Linked DNA regions of Canis lupus familiaris. The protein of the gene in region 3 interacts with the protein of the main gene of each other region in a biochemical or structural test. Links are inferred from orthologs where the notes say so. Each region holds a gene or a part of one and is shown on either strand. Other genes may lie near its edges.

Region 1 (3,612 bases), on a different chromosome or scaffold from region 3:
TAGCAGATACTGTTAATGAATTAATAACATGAAGCCTAAAAGTTTGCCCAGTAGTTATTTGTGTTTGTGGCAGGAACAGATTTGGTGGAGAGGTGGGAGTAATTGTCGAGTACAGTGATTATAGTCTAAAAGAGAGATAATGAAGCAGAGTGTAGACAGCTCATTCTGGCTGTGAATGAGAGGAAAGAGGACAATGGCTAGAGATGAGTGAGTTTTTAACTCTTCTCTGAATGCATCTTTTATTTTTTTAAGATTTTATTTATTCATGAGAGCATGAGGGACAGAGAGAGGCAGAGACATAGGCAGAGAGAGAAGCAGGCTCCTTGCAGGGAGTCCGATGAGGAACTTGATCCTGGGACTCCACGATCATGCCCTGGGCCGAAGGCAGGCGCTCAACTGCTGAGCCACCCAGGCATTCTCTGAATGCATCTTTTACCTTTCACTCTATTCTAACAGGAATCCAGCTCTCCCTTGAGAACACAGGCTTCCTCCAGTGGTAGCTGTTTTCTTTCCCACACTCTCCTACCTTTGAATCTGAGAGTGGGCAAGCATCCTTTTTGTCCTTTGTTGCCACTTTCTGCCTTTTCCTCACATTTCTCCCCTGCTTCATTTTGAATTTCATATCAGATTATCACCCGCTGTTCCATCCTTGTTACAGTCAGCTTTTGAACCTCCAATTAAAATTCTTGTCACATCATCACTCTCTCCAACTCTTGATGTACATTTTGTCATGGTTCTTGGTAATTTAAATATTCATTTGGATGATCCTTCCAATTTTCTGAACTTATATTTCCTGGATTGTCTCTTTAAGCATCCTGCTTTGACTACTGTTATATTTTCCTGGTTTCCTCTAGTTCCCTGACTCCAGCAATCCTTTGACCCTACCTAGATATGCAATTCACGAATCTACTTCCTTTTCACTATTTCTTATTTGCCCCCTCCCTAGGTCCTTAGCTCCATCCTCATTACTTTATTTATTATTACTATTTTCAAATATTTTATTTATTCATGAGAGACACACACGGGGCGGGGAGGGCAGAGAGAGACACACAGGAAGAGGGAGGAGAAGCAGGCTCCATGCAGAGAGCTGGATGTGGGACTCAATCCTGGGACTCTGGGATCATGCCCTGAGCCAAAGGCAGACTCTGAGCCGCTGAGCCACCCAGGCATCCCATCCTCATTACTTTAAATCCTAGGGTCAGTTATTATAATGACTCCTTTACATTCAGCTTCAGCTTTCCAGCCCTGTTCGCTCTTCATCATGGTTACTGGTCAAAACCTAACCCAAGTTTAATCCAGTTTTCTGCCTATGTACACTTAACACCTGCACAGCGGATCACATTTGGACCAGAATATTAACTTTAAATTCAGGATCACTAATCTCAAGTGAGCCCTTAATTCTGCCAGTCAGTTATAATGCATTTCTCCACTCCTTTGACAGCCTCACTCTCCTAAATCACATTTATATACTTTTTTTTCCCCTTCAACTTTGAATGCCTCTTTTCCCCTCCTCACTCTCAGTTGGTGACAGCATTTCCTATTTCACTGAGAAATGGAAACAGTCACAAAGGAACTTCTACAGGCTTCAGTCATCACCTCCACTCACCTAACCAGCTGCCTCTGTGCTCCTATACTCTGCTTTCTCTTTGTTGCTATGAATAAATTGCTCCAGTTATAAGCCAACTCTCTTTCTCTTGTACTTGAGACCCAGTTCTCTTTTGCTTACTCAGGGACATTATCTAGCAATTCTTCAGTCTTCCTCCTGCATTGTTAATTTTTCTGTATTAACTTTCTCATCAGCATACCAGCATGCTGTTTCTCTCATCTTACTGCCTGATCCATAGGAGGCTTACTAAAATATTTGGATGAAGGAATTAATAAATAAAATGTTTGGCTAAATATAAGTGTGTTTAAATGGTTTAGGGACAGTTCCAGTTGAGAGGGAAAAAGGCTGAAGGTATAAGAGAGAAGGAATGAAGGAGCATCAAGACCCCGAAGAGATAGGAAGGTATGGGGTTCAGGTATGAGTAGAGGGATGGGCATTGGATGGGAGCATGGAAGGGAGGGAAGGATGAGTCGCAATGCAAGTAAATTGGCAGATTTATTAATGGCAAGTTGAGGGAGTTTCTAATGACGTTATTTTCTTTGTGCAGTGGGAGATGGTATCCTGTGCTACGTAATAAGGAACTGGAGGGTGGGTGGTTGTGGGAATTTGATAAGAATGTAGAAGTTTTGAAGCAGTCATTATGGAGAAAGGGAGAGGAAACTGACTGAAAAACATAGGACTATCAGTATTGAGGATCCAGCTAAGGGTATTAACCACAGAAGTTACAGTGGCATCATTTTCTTTGTAATAATTATTCTCAGTAAAGTTTTGCCAGGGGAGAGAGTGCCTGGGTGGCTCAGTTGGTTAAGCATCTGCCTTTAGCTTAGTCATGATCTCTGGATCCTGGTCCTGACACCTGAGCTCTGTGTCAGGTTCCCTGCTTAGCAGGGAGCCTGCATCTCCCTCTGCCTCTTTTCCTGCTTTTGTTCACTCTCTCTATCTCTGTCAAATAAATAAAATCTTAAAAAAATAAAATAAAATTATGACTTTATTGTGAAATCCCACACTGGCAACATACAAATCAGGATTTGTGAAATGTGTAATTTGACACAGGAGTCCTCCTAAGTTTATGATGACCACATTTCTTATGCAATCATGTATGGAGAGCCACTATTTGTCATATAACTATTTTGTTTTGAGTAAATGGATTTAGATGTGGTTTAAAAACATTTGTATTTATGTTTTCTTTTTTTAGGAGCAAAGAGGCCCCGAGTCACTTCAGGTGGTGTATCAGAGTCTCCTAGTGGATTTTCTAAGCACATTCAATCCAATTTGGACTTCTCTCCAGTGAACAGTGCCTCTAGGTAAGATAAATCAATAAAGACCAAATAATTATTGTATGTAATATTCCCATAAAAATAATGCATGTATATATTTTTTCTTGATAATGAATGTAATTTTTTATCAGTGTGAGAATGGTAATGTGATATAAGAAAGGCCTGATTGGTTTTATCTAAAGATATATTTTTCCCCATATCTTAATGCCTCAGTGAAGAAAATGTGAAGTACTCCAGTTCCCAGCCAGAACCACGGACAGGTCTTTCCGTATGGGACACTAGCCCTTCATATATTGATAAGCTGGTACAAGGGATCAGTTTTTCCCAACCCACATGTCCTGATCATATGCTCCTGAATAGTCAGTTACTTGGCACCCCGGGATCCTCACAGGTAAGGGAATTTAGTTTTTTCAAATAAATGATGAGAAACTTCTAGTTTTTTCCTCATAAAGGCTTTTGTTTTAATGTATAAATCTTAGAAATATAGTATTAATATTGTGCGTATATAGATTTTTTTTTAAGGAAGAGATAAGAGGATGCTTTCCTATATAAGAATCTTTAGTCACACAAAAAAATTTTCAGACCCAATAGCTATGATATGACTGCTTTTGGTGATACCAGATTTATTCAGGTTTCCTCTGTTTGACATGTAGAACCCTTGGCAGCGCTTGGTGAAAAGGATGACACGATTTTTTACCAAATTGGATGCAGACAAATCTTATCAATGCC
Region 2 (4,052 bases), on a different chromosome or scaffold from region 3:
CATCACTCTGACCCAGGGTGGAGGAGGGAACAAGAGAGTGGGGCTACACATACCTTGTTCATCGCTGTAACCCTAGCATCTAGCAGGGTGCCTGCACTCAGTAAATGTCTGTGGAATGAATGACTGGAAACAGAAAAGGCTATTACAGTACCCAAGGCTTGGAAGAAAAGCGTCCCCATTTGCGATGTTACATAAGCTGATGTAATTAGTAAAGCCCCGACTGAATGTAGGAGTCTGGGATGAGGGAAGGAAAGAGGCAGGCAAGATTCCCCTGTATCTGGCTCGAGCGCCAACTTTTAAGTTCGGTGGGCAGAGCTGAATGAGACGGATAAGACCGGATAAGGAGGGCAGGGAGAGGGTTCACAGCCGACTATCAGATTCCCTCCCAACTCCCACCACACGTGCGTGTCTGAGCATCTGAGGAACACCGGGCACCAGAGCCGCGCGGGGCTCCCCGAAGACGGCGGCGGCGGCGACACTCTCCGCCTCCCTGGCTCTCCCAGACCCATTCCCGGCCCCGCCGGCAGGCGCCATTCGCGGGATAGTCGGCAAGGGGCGCCGGGCACACAGGTAGGAAGACCTGGGTGATGGAGCTGGCTGTCCACACTACGGAAACGCCTCGAACTTCTGGGCCGCGGTTTCGTCACAGGGCCGCTGCGAGCATCCACGCAAAGCTCCAGGCCCCAGCTGGAGTCTCACCGCTCGCAAAGACGCGCGCGGAATCCCCACGTTTCTTTCGGCCTGTCAGGTTCAGTCGCCCCGGGTCCGCCCGCGTCCCCCGGCCCGGAGTCGCTGCCTACCTGGCAACCCCGTAGCGGCGGCGCGCTACCGCCCGAGCTGTTTCCTGCAGGCAGCCTCTCTCCCCGGGCAGCAGCAGCCGGTGCCTCGCCCGCCGGCCTCAGCCGCTGCCACGGCTACTGTTTACCCGTAACGTCATTACCTGACTGCGGAAGTACTTACCCCGCCCAACCCGCAGAGCCTGCTGGGAAAAGGGCCTGTGGGGAGGGACGGCTGCCTACAAGATCCAGAGGCCTTTGCGGCGGAAAGGCTGCCGGAAGTAGCCGAACGCCAACAGCGGAATTCTCCCAGGGGCCCCTCCCTCTCCCGTGATTGGGTGCTGGGCATGGCGGCGGGGCGGGCGGGGCTGGGCCGCGGCTCAGGGCGGAGTCCGCGGGCGGAGGATGTGAGCTCACGGCCCGGGATTGCTGGCGGGCAGGCGGCCACAGCCCCGGGCGGCACGGGGTCGGCTTGCAACCCAGCTGAGAGGAGACGTGCCCCCCGGGAACGGTGAGAGGCGGGGTGCGGATGCCCTGGGGGACAGGATGGACGGGCCGCGGGCTGGAGCAGGAGCAGGGGCAGGAGCCCCACCCGGGGCTGGGGAGAAGGCGTGGGACGGCGGAGGGGAGATGGAGAGCGCAAGTCCTCCACTGGGGTGCGTGTCAGAATCGGTCGGCTTCTCGGTGTGAGGAGGGGTGCGGCCCGGGGAAGACTCCACCGACCACGGAGAGGTTGGGTCTCGCTAATCTTTCCAGACCTTTGGGACGAAACCTAAGATTTACACCTCGGATTTCTGCTGGATCCGCCTCCTCTACCCAAGATTGGCCACCCGCCCCCCACCCACCCCACCGAGTGTCATGGACCCATGGGTCCGTCTTCTAGGACCCCGCCTTCTTCCACGGCCGTGGTTGTGGTCCTGCCCTTCATTCTGCTTAGGTTCCCATTAGCCTCACTGAGGGAGACTCGGATACGCCCTCAGCCCCAGGCATCCCCAAATACCCACACACAAAGTCCGGAAGGAACTGCAGTGAGGCTATCAGTGGAAACTTCATTCTCTCTGGAATTACTTTCTGGGGCGTCACCTGCCAAAGATTCCTGGAGCCCATTGGCCCGGGAGGAATCTGAGCGGTCGGCATCTGAGCTGACGTCATCCAGGGGCTCAAAGCAATTGCTTTGTAGGCTCTGTTGGCCACCCCCTAGCCTTTGAGTTCCTTTACTTTGGCGGAACATATGTTTGCTTTCTTTGATCCTGGGGAAATCGGGGCTAGACTCAAAATGCATAGGGGACTTGCTAAAACCTGTTAAGGAGTGGATTTACTCCATTGGGGTGGGTGGGGGAAGGTGAGGTGATTTCATACTATCACGTGTTACTTAGGGATTGGACAATCTGCTGGTGAGGTTCATCTCCTCCGTACTCCATCCTTGAGGCAAGTGAGTCTCCAGGACAAGCCACCAAAGAAATTTGGCATTTCAGAAAGCAGCCGCTCTGGTCCTTCCTTGGACAGTCTTCCTAGAGGGCTACCTAAATCTTTTCAGGGACAATTTCAGTCTAACAAACTGAAATAGATTAAATACTTTCAGATGTGCATGACATTGTGCTAATCACTGTTTGGGATAGTAGAGCAGTAAACTTGGGGAAGCCGGTGCACTGCTTCTGGATCGCACTTGCAGGAGGTGATGTGCAACAGTAAACTTTTGCATACTGTGATGACTGCTGAGGCAATCACACCTTTTTTTCTGTCTGCATTACCAACACTGCAGGCCAGGCGTCCATCAGTTGCCTAGACTGCTGCTTCCTTTACTCTTCCTGCTTGCTCTCGTGCACCATTACAGTCCATTCTCTACAGGGCAGGCAGAGTGATCTTTTCAAAATGCAAATAACTCAGGACCTATCACTCCCCTGCTTAAAACCCGCCAATCGATTACCATTGCAATTAATCTAAAATGCAAACTCTCTAATGTGAACTGGCCCGTGCATTACCTGATTTTACATCAAGCCAACTACCCTCTTCTTTCTAAGTACTGGACATCTTGGCCTTCTTTCTGTTCCTGAAATTTGTGTCTGATTGAGAAACTTTGCACTTACTCTTCCATCTGTTTAGAACACTCTTTCAGACTTCAGCTGGAATGTCACCTTCCCAAAGAGGGCTTCCTGTGCCCCCATCCGTCTTAGTACTTCTCCCTAGTCATTCTCTTATCCCTAGTTTATTTATTGCATCTTACCTTCTGGAACTGCTTACTTAAAGGTAAGGTTGGTATCTATCTCTCTGTTCCTACTGCTTAACATAGTAGGCACTCAGTCTTGTTTTACTGCTGAATGAATTAAATGAAGTAATGTATATATTGTCTACACACTACCTAGACCATGGTAAACATGCAGCAAATGTTTGCTCTTTTTTTTTCAGTGAATGAATTTTAGTGATTCCTTAGAAAACCAAGATGTATATATAGTATAGAATCTAGCTCCTGAGGGGTGACCTGGCTTTTCCCTCCTCTGCTTTCCTCACTCCTCCTTCCTGTGAATGCCTATCTGTGTTTCAGTTTCCAAATCACTTAAAAGTTGTTTTTAGATTTATCATCTGGTCTTTTCCAGCCTTGTGGGTAGGGAAGAAAGGAAGGGATAGGGCTGGGCCCTATCCTTTCAGGAAAAAGAAGTAAAAATAGCCATCCTGTAGTTGTTCTAGCCTGAAAAATGGTGACAGTTTCAGGAACTTGGGACAGGGCGGGGATCAAGAGAGGTGAAGGTGAGGAAACCGCTGGGACCTGGGTAACTCTGCCGGGAACATTGACCAGTACCCTCCACCCCAGCTCATACCATGCTCTCCTGGAGCTGCTTTTACTTTACTTTCTGAAGCCACACTGTGGGTGGTGCTCAAAGTAAGCACTGGCGCAAGCTGCTTTGGAGCTTGGAATCTTTAGAAAGGAAGTGCATCCTGTCCCTCTGGCTCCTGGGACTCTCCTGCACTGGCAGAAGTCTTGGGTCCTAGGAATCTTGGGAAGAAAATATGTGGCTCCTCAGGGTAAAGACTTCTGCTGCCCCATCTGCTCCTCAAACCATCTCAGACTAGCTCCAAGGGTTTACTTGTCCTCTGTGCTGCCTTGACCTGTGCCGAGGCTCAAGGAGGCTGGCGAGATGATGGGCAGGCTCTGGAAGACTGTGCTGGTTCACAGTACCATAAAGAGGAGCAGGAATGCCTCCTTTTGCTGTTGCCTGGGGCCTTAGCCTCTGCCAGGGAGTCTTTTGCTTGTCAAGGAGAGAATGAGTACATAGTCCC
Region 3 (4,285 bases):
TGCGCGCCACCTCAGGAAAACCCGCTTCTTCAGCCAGCTGAGCAGCATCCTTGCCACCCAGCTCACAGACACCCACCCAGGCAGCTCCACGGCCCAGGAGATAGCGCACAGCAGCCCCCTGGCCTGCTCGAGCAGCACACATCAGGGGGGTCCACCAGAAGGCATCCCGAGCATTGATATTGCCCCCCGCTCCCCCTGCCTCGTGGGGATCCAAGAGCCTTCTTAGTTCTGCTAGGTCACCCTCCTGGGCTGCCCTCAGTATCCAATGGGTCATCTTGTCCTCTGCCTCAAGGGATCTCCTTTGTCCATGTCCTGCTGAGGCTCCTACAGCAGCTTCCCCCATCATTCTTCTCTTCTTCCTCTTTCTTTTCCTGTCAGGTTCAGGCTGAGATCTCTGGGATGCAGGGATGCTGCTCTCTTCTGCAATCAGGGCCTCATAGAAAGCCCGGGCTGCAGCCCCATTCAGGGTGGGCTCCAGCTCTTCAGGCTGTGACTGCTGCTGCCCATCTTTCCAGAGGTCACTGGGGTTGGTGGCCGGGGTGAAGGTGATGAGGGAGGGCCTGGACATGGCTTTTGGGAGAACTGAGACAATGAGACTAATTAAAGGGCGTATGAGACAAGCAAGCCAATCCCTTGGTGGCTCTGCACTGACCAGAACCACCTCCACAGATCTGCTGGGATGAGGAAAAGTAGCCTTTTCCAAGTCAAAAACCCGTCTTATACTCTAAGTGACCCCACAACCTAGGACCCTACAGGGCCTAAGGACCATAGGTCATGTGGAAAAACAGGGAGCCATACAATAACAGCCCATATCCCTCGTAAAGGTTAACTTAACAAAGATTTAATGAGAATTGCCCAGAGGCCCATCCCTATCCTCACCAATAAGTAAAAACAGCTTCTCTCTCAAACTACTTGATCACCAGGTAAGACGTGCAGTTAAGAAAACAATCAGCCTAGCCCTTTAAATCTTCCTTGATCCTATGTCAGGGTAGGGTCTTTCCAAACAAAAACAGACTTTTAACCTTCTCCGGATGCAAGAAGAAGATTTGGGGGAGAAACTCCAGTCTCTGTGGAGACCCCACAGGGTCTCTGTACCACAAAAATTTTATCTAAGCAAAGGTGCTGCCAGTCCAATAGCCACACGACCCAGACACACATGTGTGACTGAAAAAAAAATCAACCACCACAAAGCAGAACTTGAGGGTGCGGGCGTGTGCGAAGCGCCAGGCTGAGCCTTCGCACGGTGGGACCCTCCAGGATGCCACGTGCCCAGGCAGCGCGAGGACAGAGGCTCTGTCGGTTGGGGTCCTACTTCTACATAACGCCCCACAATGCCCTTCGCCTCCCGGAACGTGGCCCCCCACTCCGAGCGCAGTTTTTGGACCTGCGAAACCACCGAGTTAAGGAGGGCTCTGAGAAGGCGGGAGGAAACCTGTGGAATGCCCCGAAGCCGTGAAGTGAAATAACGTCACGCCACCCCTCACCATTATTCTGAGCAGGGTTCGAAGGTCACACTTAGTGCCCGCAGCAGAAGGCCCCATTCAAGCTCTGAGAGGAGATGGAAAAGTGCAAGGGGACGAGCAGCAGAATGGCTGGCGCCACTTCAGGTTAGCGCACAGGCCGTCCCAATTCTCACACCGCTCACCTCAGCCCAGCCCACTCTTCCCACGTCCCGCAAGCAAGGAGCCCGGCCTCACCTCCCGCCTGAGGAGACTAGACCCCGGGGTGAAGCACCGGCCCGGGTGGGGCCTCCAGTGGCGGGCCTGACTCTGGCGAGAGGCTCCGCAGGCAACAAGGACCCGGTGGGGTAGTCGGGGACGAGGTCAGCACCCTGGGCTGCCGGCAAACACCTGGGGCAGAGCCTCGCTGTGTGAGGGGAGTTGCAGGAATCCAGCCCTCCAGCCCCGTTCCTTCCCCGCCCCCTCCCGGCCCCTCAGTTGCGCGACCCTACGACTCTATTTCCCATACTCCCTGGCCCAGAACGGGGTACTGCGCTTCCGCTTCCGGTGGTATCCCGCTGCTCCCCACCCCCGAGCGTCTTGTTCCTGGGCCTCGCGACGCCAGGGTCGTTCGTGGGTCATCCTGGGATTCGTAGTTCGCCTGTTCTTCGCTTCGCCAGTTTCTCTTTACCTGGGACTCCATTTCCCGGCGTTCACTGCGGCGCCCGACCCTTGGCGCTTGCGCGTTGCCCTCTCCCCACCCTCCCCAATTTCCACACACACCGCCCCCCGCCCCCCCCCCCTCGCTACTTCGCCTGCCGCGGTCGGGTCCGCGGCCTGCGCTGTAGCCGTCGCGGTTCTTTGGAAGCAGCAACTCCCCTCCCCCACCCCGGTCCCGGTCCCGGTCCCCGCCCAGCCGGTGAGTCTGAGGTCGTTGCCGCATCGAGTCTTCCGTCCTTAGGCGCGGCACATGGGGTCTCCGCGCGTTGGTGTGGGGGTGGGGAAGGAAGTGACCCGGTCCGGCACCGGGGGAGGGAGGGTTGGCCTGAGAGGCGGGGTGTGGGGACTCCTGTGAGAGGGACCCAGGGCCACCTCCAGGTCGTGAGGGGAAAGGGTCCTGGCTTTTGCTTGGAAAGGATAAACTTCGGAACCCTTGGGAAAGGTGTCGGGGACATGCGGAGACCTGCGGGGTAGGGATCTCGAGCCGAGAGCCCTGCGAGGGAGGGACTTGACGTAAAGAGGAGAGGGTGCTGGTTTTCGGGATTGTTAGGGGTGTGGGTAGGACGGGTGAGCCTAGACCTGTCGGTTTTTCAGAAGTGGTGGGACTCCAAAGAGCCTCTAGTGAATAAGAGGAATTGGAGGCAGGTGCGCCAGGGTCTAGGATCCTTTAAGAAAAGGGGGCTCCAAATTCTTCCATGGTCGGGGAGCAGAGTGTGGGGAGGAGGGAAGGTACCAGAGACAGGGTGGGGGAGCTTGGCCTTTGTTTACCCTCTTTTTTTTTTTTTTCCCAGCTGACGTGAAGATGAGCAGCTCAGAGGAGGTGTCTTGGATATCCTGGTTCTGTGGGCTCCGTGGCAATGAATTCTTTTGTGAAGTGAGTTCTCAATCTCCCAGCTATGTCCGCACAAAGTTTGGCTGTATGTTTTTCCACATATTTAGCTTCTACTTCTCTTACAGGCTGTCATAGAAACTTTTTCCTGTCAAGGAAGAGTCCCTTCAGTAACTCCCCTCACTAATTTGTGAAGTGGCAAGACTTGCCCATCCCAAGCCTGTTACTGTCCAGCGGTGTAATATTGGAAAAGTCAACTTTATTACTACTACTACTACTACTGTTATTCTTATTATTATTGCTAGGCTTGTACTAGTAGTGCTTAATTTGGGAGCCTATTAGGATTAAAATGCCGTTTATCAAAATGTTTTGTAACAGGCAAAGTTTTGTGCTAATGATATAATGGATTATAACTGCCCACAGGACCCAAGCTGTTTAGTCGCTGCTTTTCTTAGAGTTCTAGCTGCCGGTAAGGAGAGGACAAAACTGGTCTGTAGAGATGGGATCAAGAATAGGAACAGGGATTTTAAAAGGAGTGTCTCGTTAAGGAAGAGATTGTTGTAGCTGCTTATCCTTAGGAAAGAAAAGCCAGAGCTTTTATGGGAAGGCAGTGTATGTGAACTGGGGAGAGAGACTCAAGGATTTCTGCTGAGTTGGTGTGGGGAATTAGGGAAAACAGAAGCAGTTGTGTTGGAAACAAGGCACCAATTAGAGCAATGTGCCCAGATCAAAGCTGAGGATTCTGCTATGGGTTTCTTCTTGACTTCCACATCCTGACAGGTGGATGAAGACTACATCCAGGATAAATTCAATCTCACTGGACTCAATGAGCAGGTGCCTCACTATCGACAAGCTCTAGACATGATCTTGGACCTGGAGCCTGGTGAGGCATCCTCGGGGTTATCTTTGTGTGTGTGTGTGTGTGTGTGTGGTTTTTCTTTTTTCTCCCAAATTCCTGTTGATCTGCTTCTTGAATTTCTAAATTTCCTTTTGGTTCTCTGATTGCTTTTGTCCTAAGTTCTGTACTTTATTTTGCTCTCTCATCTGACTTTTGCCTGGATTTGTGACAGCCTCATTCTACACTCTGATCCTGTAACTTGGCTCTCTCCCTTAATGTTAGTTTCCTCATGGATCTCATTTCCTGCTTACCTGTCTTGCCTTGCACCTTTCAGTCTAGAGTTCCAGCTTCTATGTTGATCTTTTTCATTTATGTGTTGAGAGAGTTGGGAGGGAGAGAAGAGAGTAAAGGCTGAAGAGGTATAGAGAGAAGGCAGAGCTGCCTTGGGTGGGTGGGTGG

The links.
Region 1: of the proteins of CSNK2B (region 3) and CHEK1, one has a biochemical effect on the other in vitro, tested with the Homo sapiens proteins (2 studies listed by BioGRID, with this or other methods). The link is inferred for Canis lupus familiaris from reciprocal best matches to the Homo sapiens genes CSNK2B and CHEK1.
Region 2: the proteins of CSNK2B (region 3) and TNFAIP1 form a complex in vitro, tested with the Homo sapiens proteins (2 studies listed by BioGRID, with this or other methods). The link is inferred for Canis lupus familiaris from reciprocal best matches to the Homo sapiens genes CSNK2B and TNFAIP1.

The regions. Positions count from the first base shown.
Region 1 is NC_049226.1:8,902,215-8,905,826, reverse strand, and holds part of CHEK1 (serine/threonine-protein kinase Chk1), read left to right. Parts: intron 1-2,801; coding exon 2,802-2,910; intron 2,911-3,096; coding exon 3,097-3,274; intron 3,275-3,536; coding exon 3,537-3,612. UniProt on the Homo sapiens protein: Serine/threonine-protein kinase which is required for checkpoint-mediated cell cycle arrest and activation of DNA repair in response to the presence of DNA damage or unreplicated DNA.
Region 2 is NC_049230.1:42,558,546-42,562,597, forward strand, and holds the start of TNFAIP1 (BTB/POZ domain-containing adapter for CUL3-mediated RhoA degradation protein 2), read left to right. Parts: upstream 1-1,141; 5' UTR 1,142-1,287; intron 1,288-4,052. UniProt on the Homo sapiens protein: Substrate-specific adapter of a BCR (BTB-CUL3-RBX1) E3 ubiquitin-protein ligase complex involved in regulation of cytoskeleton structure.
Region 3 is NC_049233.1:1,286,650-1,290,934, forward strand, and holds the start of CSNK2B (casein kinase II subunit beta), read left to right. Parts: upstream 1-1,468; 5' UTR 1,469-1,558; coding exon 1,559-1,607; exon of another isoform or gene 1,608-1,686; intron 1,687-1,697; exon of another isoform or gene 1,698-2,105; intron 2,106-2,205; exon of another isoform or gene 2,206-2,358; intron 2,359-2,481; exon of another isoform or gene 2,482-2,629; intron 2,630-2,950; coding exon 2,951-3,033; intron 3,034-3,768; coding exon 3,769-3,871; intron 3,872-4,285. Other genes in the region: GPANK1 (G patch domain and ankyrin repeat-containing protein 1), read right to left, coding at 1-568. UniProt on the Homo sapiens protein: Regulatory subunit of casein kinase II/CK2.